3 linked regions of the Drosophila melanogaster genome follow. The protein of the gene in region 3 interacts with the protein of the main gene of each other region in a pairwise test. Each region holds a gene or a part of one and is shown on either strand. Other genes may lie near its edges.

The links. The genes of interacting proteins can lie anywhere in the genome.
Region 1: the proteins of Xrcc2 (region 3) and mRNA-cap interact in a two-hybrid assay, tested with the Drosophila melanogaster proteins (one large-scale study listed by BioGRID).
Region 2: the proteins of Xrcc2 (region 3) and CG15822 interact in a two-hybrid assay, tested with the Drosophila melanogaster proteins (one large-scale study listed by BioGRID).

What each region holds. Positions count from the first base shown.
Region 1 is NC_004354.4:14,238,914-14,244,441, forward strand, and holds mRNA-cap (mRNA-capping-enzyme), read right to left. Parts: upstream 3,910-5,528; 5' UTR 3,669-3,909; coding exon 3,465-3,668; intron 3,401-3,464; coding exon 2,468-3,400; intron 2,406-2,467; coding exon 2,267-2,405; intron 2,213-2,266; coding exon 1,939-2,212; intron 1,872-1,938; coding exon 1,675-1,871; intron 1,608-1,674; coding exon 1,405-1,607; 3' UTR 1,353-1,404; downstream 1-1,352. Other genes in the region: Dus2 (dihydrouridine synthase 2), read left to right, coding at 1-692, 760-1,010; CG32599 (uncharacterized protein), read left to right, coding at 4,916-5,122.
Region 2 is NT_037436.4:2,160,012-2,165,586, forward strand, and holds the start of CG15822 (uncharacterized protein), read right to left. Parts: upstream 3,853-5,575; 5' UTR 3,729-3,852; exon of another isoform or gene 3,680-3,728; intron 1,919-3,679; 5' UTR 1,787-1,918; coding exon 1,620-1,786; intron 808-1,619; coding exon 612-807; intron 440-611; coding exon 326-439; intron 269-325; coding exon 94-268; intron 1-93.
Region 3 is NC_004354.4:18,496,670-18,501,787, reverse strand, and holds Xrcc2 (X-ray repair cross complementing 2), read right to left. Parts: upstream 1,662-5,118; 5' UTR 1,607-1,661; coding exon 854-1,606; 3' UTR 530-853; downstream 1-529. Other genes in the region: Pgant7 (polypeptide N-Acetylgalactosaminyltransferase 7), read left to right, coding at 2,352-2,556, 3,367-3,843, 4,286-5,118.

The DNA of each region.
Region 1 (5,528 bases), 4.3 Mb from region 3:
CTTGGACATTCCAGTCACCTGCAAAATACGCATACTGCCGGACGTGGAGGGTACAATCGATCTGGTGCAGAAACTGGCCGCCACGGGCATCGCTGCCATTGGCATTCATGCGAGGACGCGCGACGAGCGTCCGCAGCATCCTGCCCATCCCGAGGTACTGCGTGCCGTTGCCCAGGCGGTTGACATACCGATTATCGCCAACGGTGGTTCGAAAAACATGCACTGCTACGATGATCTGCGCAAATTTCAAATGGAATGCGGCGCCGATAGCGTGATGGTCGCACGTGCGGCACAGATCAATGTTAGCATCTTCAGGCCGGAGGGCCTGCTGCCCATGGACGAGCTAATCGAGAAGTATCTGCGCCTGTGCGTCGACTACGACAATGCGCCGCATAACGCCAAGTACTGTGTGCAGAGCATACTCAGGGAGCTGCAGGAGACGCCGCGTGGCAAGCGTTTCCTTCAGTGCCAGACGCTGCAGCAGATCTGCGAGATCTGGGAGCTGGGCGACTATTGCCGCCGCAAGCAGCGGGAGCTAAAGACGATGGGCAACTCGGGACGGGCGGAGGTGGAGCCACCGGAGGCGCTGGCCAAGCGACAGAAGCTGGAGGATGCGGCCATTGCCATAACGGACGAGTACGACGGCATCATTTGCCGACACATGCCATTCCTGCGCTCCACCTATCCCAGTGGTAAGTGTTTCGATCAATCTCTTGCCATGATAGCCATCATCCCCATTCGGTATTTTTCATGCCACAGATAATCATCTGCCGAAAACGCAACTATATGTGCATGCTGTCAAAACTGGCAAATCCCCGCCAGCGTACGAAACGCAGCAGTGTGACAAATTGTTTCGCTCCATCTGCACGTACGATGGCCAGCGCTTTAGTAGCTCCTTCTGGGAGAAGAACAAGAAGCAGGCAGAGCAGGGCGCCGCTCTGGTGGCCCTGCTCCATCTTGGCCAGCTGGAGGCGGAGGTTCTGCGCGACAATGGCAGCCTGCTCAACTGAGCAGCAAAGTTCCTCCTGTTTTATGTAAATGTCATCCATTTTGGCTATGTTTTGGACACCATTATTTAGTTGTTTTTTTTTTTTTTGATTATTGCAATGGCTGTTGCAACTGCCTTAGGTGCTGGGAGCAGTATCTGGACTACCTCCATTGGGTTAACAAAGTTTGCATCTGAATAAACAAAACTGCAAGTGTGCAGTGCTTTAAATATATGTATGTATTTAGATAAATAAATTATATGAGCTGTTTTAAGTTTATAAGGAGTACAGCTGGTTGGAGTGCTCCTAGTACTAAGTAATTCGTAGTTCAGCTAATCCAAGAAAACCCAAGTTCACACAGTTTTTCGGTACATAACTCACGATTAATTTTATTCTTTCTTTTTTTATTACGCTCTGATTAATTTCCTAATGTCGGGTTCACGCAGGGACGACGCTGGTGTTGGCCATGACCATGGGGATAAAAGTGGTTATGGTTGTGGTTTTGGTTATGGGAATTGATCGGCGGCGGCATCATGACATGATCATTCCGATAGCCAGAGCTTGCGATAAAGTTTAGTAGGTACTCCTTGGTGACTGGATGCTTTATGCTGTCCACAACGGCTGAAATTAAGATGAGTTGAGAATGAGTATAGGGATCCTCCTACTGCTGGTGAAGATTACTACTCACAGCGGGCTGTATTATAACTGTTGGGATTCTTTTTGTCCGTTCGCTCGCGCATAAAGTCCCAGTTGCCAAACTGATTCATGGTGCACTCAACGATTCTGTTGTCCAATTCTCTGGTCTCCTTCGTTAACCTTTGCATCCGTCCATAGGGTGCATCGTGTCCGCCGACATAGAGGAAGCCCACCTTTTTCGTCAGCAAGCTGCCAGAGGCGGAGAATGGCATGGTATGAATTGAGCCCGTTGAACGGATAGATCACTACAACTCACCCCTCGCCGCGCTCTGTTATGATCTTCAGCCGAAAGTCCACCGAGTTGAGCTCATGTGGCTTCCATTTGAAGACATCGGAGCATGTGCCAGCCGTGTAGGGCTGCTTTGATGGCTGGAAGATGAGGCCATCCGGTTCGTGTGCCAGTGTCCGCGAGAATTTCTCACCCAGCAGCCGGGCAGACATCCAAATGTCCCAGAAGTCCTTGCCGCGCACACTGAACGCCTGCAGCCGCTGATTGATGATGCCATGCTTCATGCCCAGGATTCGGGGACCTGCAGCGATATATGGATGTGTCCTTCATAAACGAACATCGAATAATTACTCACCTATAACTTCCGTCTTAATGTAGTCCAGTCGATTTGGATAGAATGGCTCGTCCCGCACATCGCGATTCGATAATCGCACAATGTCGTAGATGAGGTAGCGCGGCGTTACGGTCTCGCCGATCTTGTCCAGCACCATCTCCTAAACGGACAAATAGAACGATAATTTAGTTGCAATCAGGAGTGCCAGCTAGAATCACATACCCCGTCGACGAGAGTGCCGTCGAGATGCTCGTTTAGGTTCCTGCTCTCCACAAATGTCACATTCTCCACCTGGAAACAGGAGTGATTGCGATCGAAGAAATATACCTCGTCCCTTCCATCGATGAGCATCATATAACGTGTACCGTCCGCCTTCCACGACACACGATACGGTATCTCGCTTAGCCGCTTTATGTTCTCCCTGTCCATGGAGACGGGCTGTGCGCCAGGGAAGCCGTTCTTCTTCCAGTCGCACCAGTCCTGCACCTTACGCTGCAGATCGCCCAGTCGCGGCTGATCGCTCACCTGTCGCACGCCCGGCACTCCCGCCATAAAGGTGGCATTCTTGATGATCATTTCGCGCCGTCGCTTCTTACGCGGCTGACCGTCCGACGTGGAGGCGTCACAGTCGCCGCCCGCATCCTCTCCCTCCACCTCCTCGGCGTCGTCATCCTGCTCGCCGGCCTGCTGTGACGTGGATGAGGAGTTGTCCTGCACAAAACCATCGCCGTTGCCATCATCATAGTCCAGGCACCAATTGGGCTGTTCTGGTGCCGCTGGAGCGGCATTCGTGTCCTCGTAGCGTTTGTACAGCTCGTTGATGTAATCCTGCTTGTAGATGCCCGGCGGCCGGGCGCTGGCAAAGATAGCGAGCGCTGCCGAAACGGAGCAATCGAGTCGCTCGACCAAATAGCAGACAATCAGGAAGCCAGTGCGATTGAAACCGTGCGTGCAGTGCACGGCTATAACGTCAAATGGACGTTCGTTAATAAAGTTGTCCACGATCTCGATGAAACTGTGCGTCTGCTCCGGCGATGGCGTCTCGCCATGTCCACGGCACTGCAGCTTAATATATTTCGCGCCGAGCTCCTCCACTGCGGATCGATCGTAGAATCGTTTCGTATTGGTCAGGTCAACCCAGAGGCCCAGTTTCACCTGAAACCATAAGATGGATTGGATAAGTGAGTTGGAAATTGGGGGATGTTGCGTTTGCATTCACCTTTAGCGTTTTGCAGTATTCGAAGAGCATCTCGGGTTGAAAGGTGCACTCGATGGGCATCTTGTCGTGAAAGTTATTGCTCAGCGGGGTCTTAAAGGCCAGGAAGCGTTCCGCAATGATGGTATCGCTCTTGCGCGGACAGTATAGCCAGCGATTGGGCAATGGACCAGAGCCCCGTTCCCGATCCCGATTAGTTAGGGCCATAGTGCCACAGTGGCTCCGCCTCTCCTGCTCCTCCTCCTCCTCCTGCTGCTGCTGCTGCTGCTGCTGCTGCTACTGCTGACGACGATGGAAACGGCGGGCGCAGCGATGGGACGACGCCGTTGCGTTTGTGTTAGGTGGTTTATTGCTGGTGCAGATTGTGGTGGATGCAGATGCAGCGAGAACTCGCGGGCCTGGGAATTCTGTGTAGGATTTGTCTAGAGATGTGGAATATATATGTAAAAATATCGATATCTTATTTGTTTCCCTTTTTATAAAAATAAATGATATATATATATATAAGATATCGCGTTTTTTGCTAAATATATTTTTCATATTTCTTATTGGTCACACTAATATGCAAGTGAATTCAAATAAGAAAGACGTTAATAATAAAACGGAAATAAAATGAGCACAGCCAGAAGTTATTATTCTGGAATAATCGACAACAGCGCGACCTGCAATGTTTGTAGCAAATCTAGTTAAATCTTTATATCTTTTATCATTTTAATGATTTTATTAAAAATGATATATCATCGAACTGTCCAGCCAAATTATCGATGCGTCCGTTACATCGATAGCATCGATTGTTTGAAAATATTGTTGGGGGAATTCGTCAAAAAGTTGTTCTCACGGGGAAATTACGAGAAAGTATTTACAAAAGTATTTAATAATATATATAATAAATTTTAGTGTAATTAAAATTAATTAAATAAAAAAATTAAAATTTTTTTAAATATACAGAACAGAATTAAAAAAACATGTTTTTCCCCTACCTTCTGCCGCTCATTTGTATCGATAATCGTTTTTCAAAATAGCTGCGAATCTTTTGCATAAAAATAAACAATTTAATTGCTGCATATTTCGGTCGATGTGTGCATACACACATACGCACATACCTATATATATATATATACGCATCAGTTTCGATATGAACTTGGGGCACACACAGCCAGCCGTACAATTATTTACTGCAATGTAAATAAACAACAAATAACAACAAATCGCCCGCAGAAATCGAACGAAGTCGCGAAAAAAAAGAGGAACGAGGAGGTTTGGGCTCGTAACCACACAATTTCGCCTCTCACTCGATTTTTGATCGCCGCCCGGACGCGATCTTCACTTCATACAAATTGTGAAATTTTTGCGAAAATTTGAATACACTCCGTTCCGAAACTCGATTGTTTTTTTGCGGTCCGTTCAAACCGAACTAGTACGTAAGCCACTTATTCCGTCGCAGAGCCACGCCCATGTCCGCGACCGCCTCAAATCGCCAGCCGGTGCCAAAATTTCCGGCCGCCATGCCGCGTGGAACGGGCACAGTGTGCTCCAATCCGGCGGTGCCCAAGTCGCCGGATGCCCTCACCTCCCTGGTGGCCCGGAAGAGCATTACGTCCATGTCGGAGGAGGAGATCATTCAGGAGAATCTCAACGAGATCCTCGACCTCAAGTCGCGCGTAAGTTTGAATTTGAGGCGGTGCTTTTGAAAAGTATCTTAAGAAGCGAAATGAAGATACAATATCTTAAATATGCCAAATTCGCAAGTTTAGAAACCTGAACTTAATAATTAACTTTTCAGTACTCAATTAAAAATCGAATGACTGTGATCTTTTTCATTCATCTACATATATTACTGAATCGCTTAAAACTAAACAAAACTTGAACAATAACCATATGGACATTCCATGAGTGCTCTCGTTTTTTTTTTTTTTTTTCACCGTGTTGTGATTCATTGGAAACACCTTGATTTACGTGCACGTCATTTACGAATGGATCACTGTGACTTTCAGATTTTCCTCAGCTTTTCCGAGATTTGCAGACGTCTCTCAAAGTTTGTACGACGCCATCGTTTGTGGCGCCATC
Region 2 (5,575 bases), on a different chromosome or scaffold from region 3:
ACCGAATTATGTTAATTGCTCGCGGGGCAAACAAAAAACGACTAGCGAACAGACCAAAAAAAACAAAAGACTCAAGCAACGAACTCGACTCACCCAAGTCGATGGCGGTCTCTATGTCGTTTTGCACACCGGCATGCATCTGGGCGCACTTCTTCAGCTCCACATCCGCTTCCGCCGGCCGCAGAGACTTGTGCTCCCGCAGAAGAGCCAACAGTTTCTCCATCGAAGCCAAAGTCTGCACATGCGACTTGGTGAACTCGTCGATGGACTGCGTAAATATAGCCATTATGTGCCGTTCGAACGGTACAGAAATTGGGGCACTTACCTTGCGCTGCTGCAGCCACAGATCGTAGTTGAACTGCAAGGTGCCGCCCAGTTCCTCGGGCAGGTTCTGCGGCTCTATGAACTTGAACAGCCTCGCCTTCGACAGCACCAGGGGCTATTAAGAGAGCACAGTGAGAAATTAATGAGTTCAATGTGGAAATTCTAATTACTATGTTGCAGTTTATGGTTATGATATATTTTATTAGGAACTAAATCGATTTAATGGGAAGCTATTTAAATCTTTAATTCACTTCTTGAGTTGTGTCCAACCTAAGCTATTAGCTTACCTCTCCCTTGACCTGGGACTTGGTGCACGGCTCCACATGCTTCTCCCAGAAGCCCTCCGCCCTGACTAGATACAGATCCACATTGATGTCGCCCCCGAAGAGGGCGTAAATCTGTCGCACCTGCTGCCGTGATATCCGCGAACTGCTCTCCTGGGCATTGACCACCACACTCACGCCATTCTGCAACACCGAAGCGCTGAAAGAGATTAATGTCAAGTTGGTTAATCGGTTTGGGACTGGAGGAAAGCGTCTTTAAGCGCTTCATTAGCTTGCCAGTTAGGATTTGGCTTTAATCAGACACTCTTTTTTCAGGGGAACTGCCAGTTGATTGATCACAATCAATATATCCATAATTCATGTGGCTTCTTCCCTGTATTTAAAAGATTGTTTGATGCCTACCTCGTAAACTTAAACAATTTGCTTGTTGTGCCAATAAATAAACAAACTTAAATGGGAAATAACAAAAGAAGGGCGTAAAGCCCATAGGTAGTTGTTTAAATAGGTTACGAACGGTATATAATTTTCATAAATTATCTTAAGGTTTTTAAGAGGGTACATTTATTGCTACTACTATTTTTACATATGTTGCTTGTAAAGTGTGTTTATAAAATGAAAGTGTGCTTAAACTGACCGAACTTTGTATCAAGTTACTCTGAAGTAATATATGTAAGTGGATATTAACAATGTTTTCCATTCAAGACAAATCATCTGACTTCAGAAACTTTAAATTATTTAGTTGGCTTTAAATATCTGACACTTAGCATATAAATAACCAGATTTTGTTAGGTGTTTTCCGCTTTTCGAGACCCGTTTTAAGACCCCTCCCAGAGAGCCGTGTCTAATGAAAAGTAATGCATTAAAGACGACAAAAAATGAACCTTCATCATCTGCGGGCTATTTGCATATTTCGGCCATATGCTAATGAATCGTCGGCATTTCCACTGCCGGTTTCTAAAGTTTCTGTGCCTAATGGCAAATGCCTAATACCACTTAATTCCCGATTCTCACCTGAGAGACCGCTTCAGATAGTCCAGAGTCACCTGCAGATAGCGGCGATTCCACAGCTGCAGATCGTTGAATGCGTTGACAACGAAGACGATGCGCTTCTGGCGATCGAATCCGCCGGATAAGTAGGCACTCCGCGTCTGCAGGGCGTTCAGCACGTCCTCCTCCATCTATAGGGAGTTTAATGATGGGATCGCGATGACGATGCGGCTTTTCTAAATGCTAATTGAGCCTCTTGTCGCCGCGAACATTTTGCTGCTGAGACAACGCGGTATTAGGATTTTCTTTTTGTTTGCAGTTGGCTGTTTGGAAAAGCTTGAAAATTAATACAAGTCACAGTTATGCGAGTTGTTTTCGTTTCTGTGGCTGCTGCTGCTGTTTTTCTTGCCGCTGCACAATGCTGCACATTTCCAAATGCCGCGAGACTTTGTTGGGGAACACGTTTGACAAGTTGCAGCCTGAAACTTTGGTTGCCTTTACTTTACTTTAGTCTGGTACACTGAGGAAAATGCTCATACCCTTAAAACGATAGTTTGGCTTAAATAGCTGCAGGCCATTTAAACGAAGCAACCAGCGCTTACTTCATTTAACTACGAATGGCATTATTGTAAAATACTTTTACGATCTACTCAATTTCTCTCAGTGCCTAGCTAGTCTCTCCACATGATTTTCACTGTTTTCATGTTAGTTTAGGAGTTTTTTGTTGGCTTTTTCAGTTTGGGTCTCTCTGGCCTAATGGAAAAATTCCATTTTTGCGCATGAGTATTTTGACACAAATTGGAGTTTTAGCTCTTTTCCATGCCGGCCAGCAGCAGCAGTTTGAACTTAATTTGTCGGTTGATAAGGGGCGCGGCAGACCCAAACGCTATATGGTATGTACAATATATGCTACATAGAGGAGGAAAAGAGCCAAGTAATTCTTTCACTTGTGAGCCAGAAGTACGTGCCAGAAATCCTGTTTGCTGCCAGTCTATCTTACAGTTATGCGTAAGTGGTCGATGCCTCTTTTCCTGTCTCTCAGTCAGCCCCATCTTGCTCCGCTTTTTCTTTACTCTACCAAAGAGTATTCGGAGATCTGCTTAACTCTTGTCTTGATATATATATGTTTTGATAGAAATTATAGATTAGATTAGTTATATAAGACCAGCTTTGCTATTATAGAAAGTGACATTTGCAGCAGGCACTTATTTAAATTATGGTATATTTTTGATTTTCTGCCTTATAAAGTGTATTTAAAACCCGGTACTGCAGGCCCAACTTCCTTTCCCCTTTTTTATGTTTTATGTTCTATGTTCTATGCTAACCAATTTGCACTACTTGGCTTTACTGCGAGTTTTTGATGGCAGGAGCGAGAGCAACCTGTTTCTTTGGCCGCTTTTGGGAAGCTGTAATAATTGTCATAGCCTAGCGGTCGGTTGGCCCCCTTCCAAAAACCCCTTCTCAATGCACTTTACTACGCCCCTTCCGCATTGGATTTCAATTAATGGCAGAGGACAGGTAAAAAAAAAACAACCTTGCAGCAGCAACTCTGGGATGGGGCATACATATTTCTGGTTTCAAATGTCAGTACGAAAAATACTTGCAAATATGAGCAGAGTTATGTCTATATTTTTATATCCCACTGAGCTCAGCGAAAAACTCACGAAAAGGGTAGCTGAAAATTGAGAACCCCGCGGGGCTCGTAATGCCTCGAATCTTTGGAATCGGGCGCACCTTTCGGCCTAAAAAAAGAAAAAATCGCTTCCAAAATAGATGGCAGCAACAAAAACCGTTTGAGCTGCTGTGTTGTTTTCTTTCAATTTCGTTAAACTTTCTTGAGAACCTTTTTTGGGTTTTGTTTTCCTCGGCTGGGCTTTTATTTTTTTGTTTTATGATATGGCGATAAGATCTATGCCAACGACGATGGGCTGTTAAATTAATTGAAAAGTTCAGCGGCAACAGCAACGGAACTCATTAGCATTTCTCCACACAAAATTTGTTTAACCAGCTGACAAATGTGTTCAGCTGTTTCGAAATGAGTTTTTAGTTCATTTTGCGTGTTGTTCCATGTGAAGTAACTCGACTTGGTTTTAACATGCAGAGCGGCGACTCCTTATCGTTTTGGTGTCTTACTTCTCAGTATTTCGAAACGAATTCAGTTCTTATCGCTCTTTTCGACACCAGAATAAAACCGACAAGACACCGATATCGTTCATCCGCCCCGTCCGCCCGCGTGGAATTCTCGCGCTCAACTGAAAGTTTCCAAACTTTGTTTCGATCTTAGCCACGATCGGTGCCAACCTGGTTTTTCGGTTCGAGTTGCGGCTCGAAGTGCGTTCGAGTTGCAGTTGCTTGCATGTCAGCTGTTTTTTGTTGCATTTCAATTGATCGTGAACTGTATGTAGTATTTCGTATTTTCATTTTTTACTGCGCTGGCTGATGATTACCCGCACGTTTTGCCCTTTTTAGGGGGGCGCCTTTGAAAACCGGTTGGGATTTCTTTTCTTCTTCCAAGTGCAAAATTAAAACAAAACACGCGTTTTGTCCGCCAATGGAGATATCGAAGATTCTGTGGAACACTTTTTTTTATTTTCATTGCTTCCACTTCTTTTCTACTTTTATGGGTATGATGAACTTGGCAAGAGAGTTTTATATGTGGGAATTCAATTAAATGGATGTTCATTTGGAAAGTTTATTCAAATACGAGTTCTAAAGTTGATAAGTTGTGATTTTTATTCCTAATTAATTCACTAATATCTGTCTCTGTTTTTTAGGGTATTATCCGTTCGATTCAGTTATGTTTTCTTCCTCACGCACTCGTTTTGTTGTTTTATTCATGTATCCCTTGACGTGGGAACTTTTAATTGTGTGTGCTGAGAGTTTTCAGACAATGCCACGAATTGTTGTCCACTTCAATATCTTCCGCCTCGCCAAGGAAAAGTACTGGAAAGTGCAGAAGGATATTTAGTATGCTTCCTTGACAGCACAAATATCAAAGATTTATTTCTCTTTGCGTGATAAATGAAAAAAAGGAGCAGTCCAGAACCGTTTTAGGCTTCACTCGTTTATGAAAGGGGACAAAAACAAACATCTCCACCAGAAAAGGGTCACTCCCTGGAAAAATGGTCTAGGGAAGGGGTTCTGTGGGTTACGACCCTTATAAACATGTCAATCACAAGTAAATTGTTGCAGATTTAATGGTCGTCCAAGGAATGTGGGTCTGGCAATAGGAATCCCACCCGACAGCCTGGACTCACTGAAATGCAAACGGATTTCCACTGCTGTGTCAGCAGCGTCGGAAAACGGCGAGAAATACAGTGAAGCTTCGAAAGATGACTTAAAAGTTAACGAACAAGAAAAAAAAACATTTTTAATGTAACAAAAAAATTCATTATTCTAGTTACTCTTATTTGTATCAGCATTTGGAATTTTAGTATCGATCTTGTTTTCCGACAGCACACTGTACCAAATTGCGTCCGCCATAGATTTTGCTTTCCATTTCACTGACTTCCATGAATTTATAGGCAATCTTCGAAGGCCTAGGCGCGATGGTTTTGTTTAATGAAACTTAAAGTGCGTGCCAGAGTGCCCGGGCACGTATCCTTGAGCTCCTCGAGGGATCCGGATCCCTGGGGCTGAGGAGAACGGAACTGGAAGCTGATGAAGTCGGGGCTGCACTCAATTGCAATAGCCGACCGCAAAATGGCGTCGAAAGGACTTCCGTTCGAGCAAAAAACAAGAAGTCATGCAACTGGGCATCATCGGACGTGAAAAGCTGCTGTTTTCCTTTTTATTTTTGTTTTTGTTAATGTTACTGGTGGAGAACGAGGAATGGATCCCTTCCCACCGACAGCTTTAACGGCTATTAGAAAATTGCGAAAATTGCGCACACGTTTTGGCTGAGAAAAGCGGGAACGTTGCATGTGGCAGGGCAATCGAGTGCAGTTTGTGGCCCCAGATTTATTGCACCGAGCTGGAAA
Region 3 (5,118 bases):
AAATAATCGTATTTAAACAGATAATTATTTATTGAAATTACATTTAAATTAATGATTGTATTTAATAATAATTTTTACTAATTTACCGGCTTTTAAGCACTACCAAAATCAATCGGCGGATAACATTAAAAAGCCCCCCCCCCCCCCCTCCTCTCCATTTTAATTGCCATTACCATACACCATCATATTGCTTCTTCTTAAAATGCTAAGAAAACGATAAAAAAGGAAAACGAAAACGAAAAAAAAAACTGCTAAACAAAACCACCTTACTTATGTATAGCTTTTAGAAATCATTAGTTTTAAGTATAATTCTGGTAGGGTTGGCCTTCTTCAAAAACAAAAAAAGAACATAGTGAAGGTTTCAACACAATTTTAAAGAACTGTTGTATTTTTTTTAATTAAGATAATATTACTGATATATAATATTAAATATATTACTGAATGGAATAAGTCATAAAAGCGAACTTTCCTTCTAGATCTATATGGACTATAATTTTCTTTGTTCGAGCGGGTAAAACTAGGAAGATATCACGGAAATTAAAGTATATTTGAGTTCGTAACTATCTAGATAATGTAGAAGTTATACCTTTTTTTTAACTTAATTAGTTGCACAGATTACTTTCTCACTCATAGGCCTTGAAATTGTCTAATAAAGGAGTAATAACAAATATAATTTCTAATCCCTAAAAGGAAGATATTATTAAAGTTAAATTGTTAAACTATATACAATTTTCTTAACCTATCAACTCTATATACAATTTAATCAACTCTATATACTCTATATACAATCGTTTACTTCTTTCAGTTCCTAGCATCATTTTGTCCTAAGATTAATAATAATAATTTAACTATGTTAACTGGGCTGAGTCAGCAATGCCTCAGTAATTTCCTTGCTAGTATTTGTATCCAAATGAATTCCATTGCTAAACGACAGCGGCAGTCCATTCAAGAGGATCTGGTTTTGAATCTTCTGCATCCTGACATGGTACTTTATGCCAGCCTCGGGCAAGTTTTCGCCAAAACGATTCTCCAGAAAGGCAGACTCCACCGTGTACATGCCGCAGACGATGGCATCCTTGCAGAGCTTCTCCAGGCGCGCCTGGAGCAATCGATAGTGGCGATACATGGACATTCTCTTGGCAATCTTAGGCTCATCTAGCCAGTAGAATTCGCTGAGTGTGTCCATGGCAACCAATTGTATGCCAGGATCATTGATGATCGCGTAGCGGGCGTCGATTAGCGACGTGGAAACATCATCGTTTGCAAAACAGTTGAGGAATCGCACGCGACTCATGCACTCGCCCGCAATCTCGGCCAGCTGCTCCTCCGTGGGGCATTTCGCAGCAATCACTTCGCCGACAGAGTACGCCTTCAGCTCCATCCTAATGCTCTTGGCCAGAGATTCACGGTTGATCTTGTGACTCAGATTGATCAGCAGGACGCTCCACTGGCGACCACCGAATTTGTAGGGCACCAGGCAGTGGGCCACCAACTGTTGGAGCACCAGGCTTTTGCCACTGTTCCCTGGGCCGGAGATCTCCACCAGCGTATCGGCTTCAAAGCCGCAGGAGCCAAAAACGGCAAAGTGGAGTTGATGTGAGCCCATTAGGTTAAATTTACAAATTTGCGCCCTGGCATAAACAAAGGAGTTATCGATTGTGGCCTTTATCGATGACAGCCACCTAAAGTTGAATTGCGCAGCGCTGAAACATATTTAACACTAAATGGAACTAGGGCATATCGAATAGTTAAACAACAGCAGCAAGCGTTTCGTTATAACTTTCAGTTAGCATTTAGACTTATTTGCGCACATACATAAAAAAAATCCATTTTCACCACCCTGTGTTATCGCCCAGCCGCCTATCGCTGCTGGTGCCTAATTTAGCCCTAACGCCTGGGCGATGATAGAAAAAACGGCATAACGCGTTCTTACCAGTTGAACATCGTTTTCTACCATTTTTTGTTTACGTTTGCACCGCGAATATTCGTGCACCTGCACTCGCAATTTGCTCAAAGCCAGCGGCGCTTTTTCGCCGGCAAGTTGCTCCGCACCGAGTTAAAGCATCACTCAGGCGGACGAGCTGGTGTACTCCAGTTAGCTTCTCGCCCCAGCACTTGTAATTGTCATTATCGGCGGGGCGCCTTTGATCATTCAGCGGCATCTCGAATCCGAACCAAAAGTGGTTCTTTTGTTCTCTTTCTGCTTTGTGGCCACCTTTCCGCGCTCCCCGCTTACCGCTTCCCGTCTCCCGCGCCGTGCTTTTTCTTTCTGGCCACCTAGACACGTCAACAGATTTGGAACTTTGTAACTGGAATCTGGAACTGGGCATCGGAATCGGAATTAGGGAGAGATGCGCGTGAGCACCATCCGCAGCGGTCGGATCTGCCGGCTGGCATTGTGCCTGCTGGTACTGCTGCCGCTGCTGTATCTGCTGGCCAACTGGAGCGATCACCACAAGCGCGTCCAGGAGGCGTATCACACGCGCTTCGGCGGACCCAAGTTCGCCCACCAGCGATTGGAGGGCAGGCCCAGGGAGGTGCCCAAGCTGGTCGATGGTAAGTGGCTACAGGATCGAGGATAGCAATATCAGCCCTTGACCAGGATAAAGAATAGGATTGTGTCACCCATAACGTGAGCCTTGCCATTAAGATTCCTCACTCACGTATTATACAATTTTATTATGGAGGACTATCATCAGAACTAAGGATACAGAGTAGTTACCATATCATTGTTGAAAAGACCGAGTTGTTTGCTTACTGCAAACCCAGCTAAAGAATTCAGTAATCTTTGCTTTATATCACTTAAAACCGGCTTTTGCTCGTTTTAACCAATTAATTACTTGCCATGTATGCTACATAGTATTCAAAGAAGTCTTTATTACCACGTTTAGCGTGAGTAAAGTATGGTTGGAGGTTAAAGGATAACCTTTTCCAACCCATATCGTACAGTCTATTCCCAGTCTAACTTACGAGCCCATTTCAAATATTTATCGCATTCTATTATACATTCTCCAAAACCGGCTTTGTAATGGCCCTAACCAACCAACTATCAAATTCGGATAGAGTGAGAAAATAACCTCATAAAAGTCATTTTTACTGCACAGCCACCAAAACTAGTGTGTCTTTAGTCTTTTGTATCAAATGCTAATTCTAGTCGTAGAATATTCCATATGACCATAAGATGGTTAGATGATGGCATATTATTGGTCTGTAATACCCCGCCTTTATGCATAAGTCTGAAATTATAACCCACACCTCCTGCAAGCGCATACAGTGAGTGGCTGGGCCAATATTTAAACAATTGCTGTAAGCTTGCATAGGTAATTTGCACGCGCCACACTCACAATTTGTTTTTGCGTTTTTCAGGCCTTGGCAACTTTGAGCCGAAAGATGTGAAGCCACGTAGCGGGCCTGGCGAGAATGGCGAGGCCCACAGCCTGTCGCCGGACAAGAAGCACATGTCGGACGCCTCCGAGATGGAGTACGGCATGAACATCGCCTGCTCCGATGAGATATCGATGCACCGATCGGTGCGGGACACGCGGCTCGAAGAGTGCCGCCACTGGGACTACCCCTTCGATCTGCCGCGCACGAGCGTCATCATTGTCTTCCACAACGAGGGCTTCTCGGTGCTGATGCGCACCGTGCACTCGGTCATCGATCGTTCGCCCACGCACATGCTGCACGAGATCATCCTGGTGGATGACTTCTCCGACAAGGAGAACCTGCGCAGCCAGCTGGACGAGTATGTGCTGCAGTTCAAGGGGCTGGTCAAGGTCATCAGGAACAAGGAGCGCGAAGGTCTCATCCGAACGAGATCCAGGGGAGCCATGGAGGCTACAGGTGCGTATAGCCCATATCTCATTTATGTATATTGTTATGTGTTCTTGCATAACTTGCATAACTCATGACGGCTTATCGCATAGTTAAAAGAACGTGTTGTATGGAAAACAATAGTTTTATCTTGAGATGTTTGCATCAAACGCTGAAACGCCAGCTATTTGGAATTTGAATTGAAGATAACTTCACGTTCCGCTTTGTGGCAATGATAAACCTTTAAACTGCAGACTCATTGAATTTCTTTTACATTTTCTCAGCATAATAGAATTGCCTATCATTGCAATTGAAGCAAGATTATCGTCGATTTCAAACAAGCCTTTTAGCATAAACAGTATGCATAGAAATTTACAAATTACTATTTTAAAGCATCATCCTTTAAATCATCATATTAACCCACAACCTTATAAATATCCACACAAACACTAAACTGCTTTGCATCCCGCAGGTGAGGTGATCGTCTTCTTGGACGCCCATTGCGAGGTAAACACCAACTGGCTGCCGCCCTTGCTGGCGCCCATCTACCGGGATCGCACTGTGATGACAGTGCCCATTATCGATGGCATTGACCACAAGAACTTTGAGTACCGGCCGGTTTATGGCACGGACAACCACTTCCGCGGCATCTTCGAATGGGGCATGCTGTACAAGGAGAACGAGGTGCCACGTCGCGAGCAGCGCCGCCGTGCTCACAACTCGGAACCCTATCGCAGTCCCACGCACGCCGGCGGCCTGTTCGCCATCAATAGGGAGTACTTCCTGGAGCTGGGCGCCTACGATCCGGGTCTGCTGGTCTGGGGCGGCGAGAACTTCGAATTGAGCTTCAAGATCTGGCAGTGTGGCGGCAGCATCGAGTGGGTGCCATGCTCTCGCGTGGGTCACGTCTATCGCGGCTTTATGCCCTACAATTTCGGCAAACTGGCTAGCAAGAAGAAGGGTCCATTGATCACGATCAACTACAAGCGCGTCATCGAGACGTGGTTCGACGACACGCACAAGGAGTACTTCTATACGCGCGAGCCGCTTGCCCGCTACCTGGACATGGGCGACATTAGCGAGCAACTGGCGCTGAAGAAGCGACTGAACTGCAAGAGCTTCCAGTGGTTCATGGACCACATCGCCTACGATGTGTACGACAAGTTCCCGGGTCTGCCGGCCAACCTGCACTGGGGCGAGCTGCGCTCGGTGGCCTCCGACGGATGCCTGGACTCGATGGGCCACCAGCCGCCGGCCATCATGGGCCTCACATACTGCCATGGAGGCGGAAATAATCAACTGGTT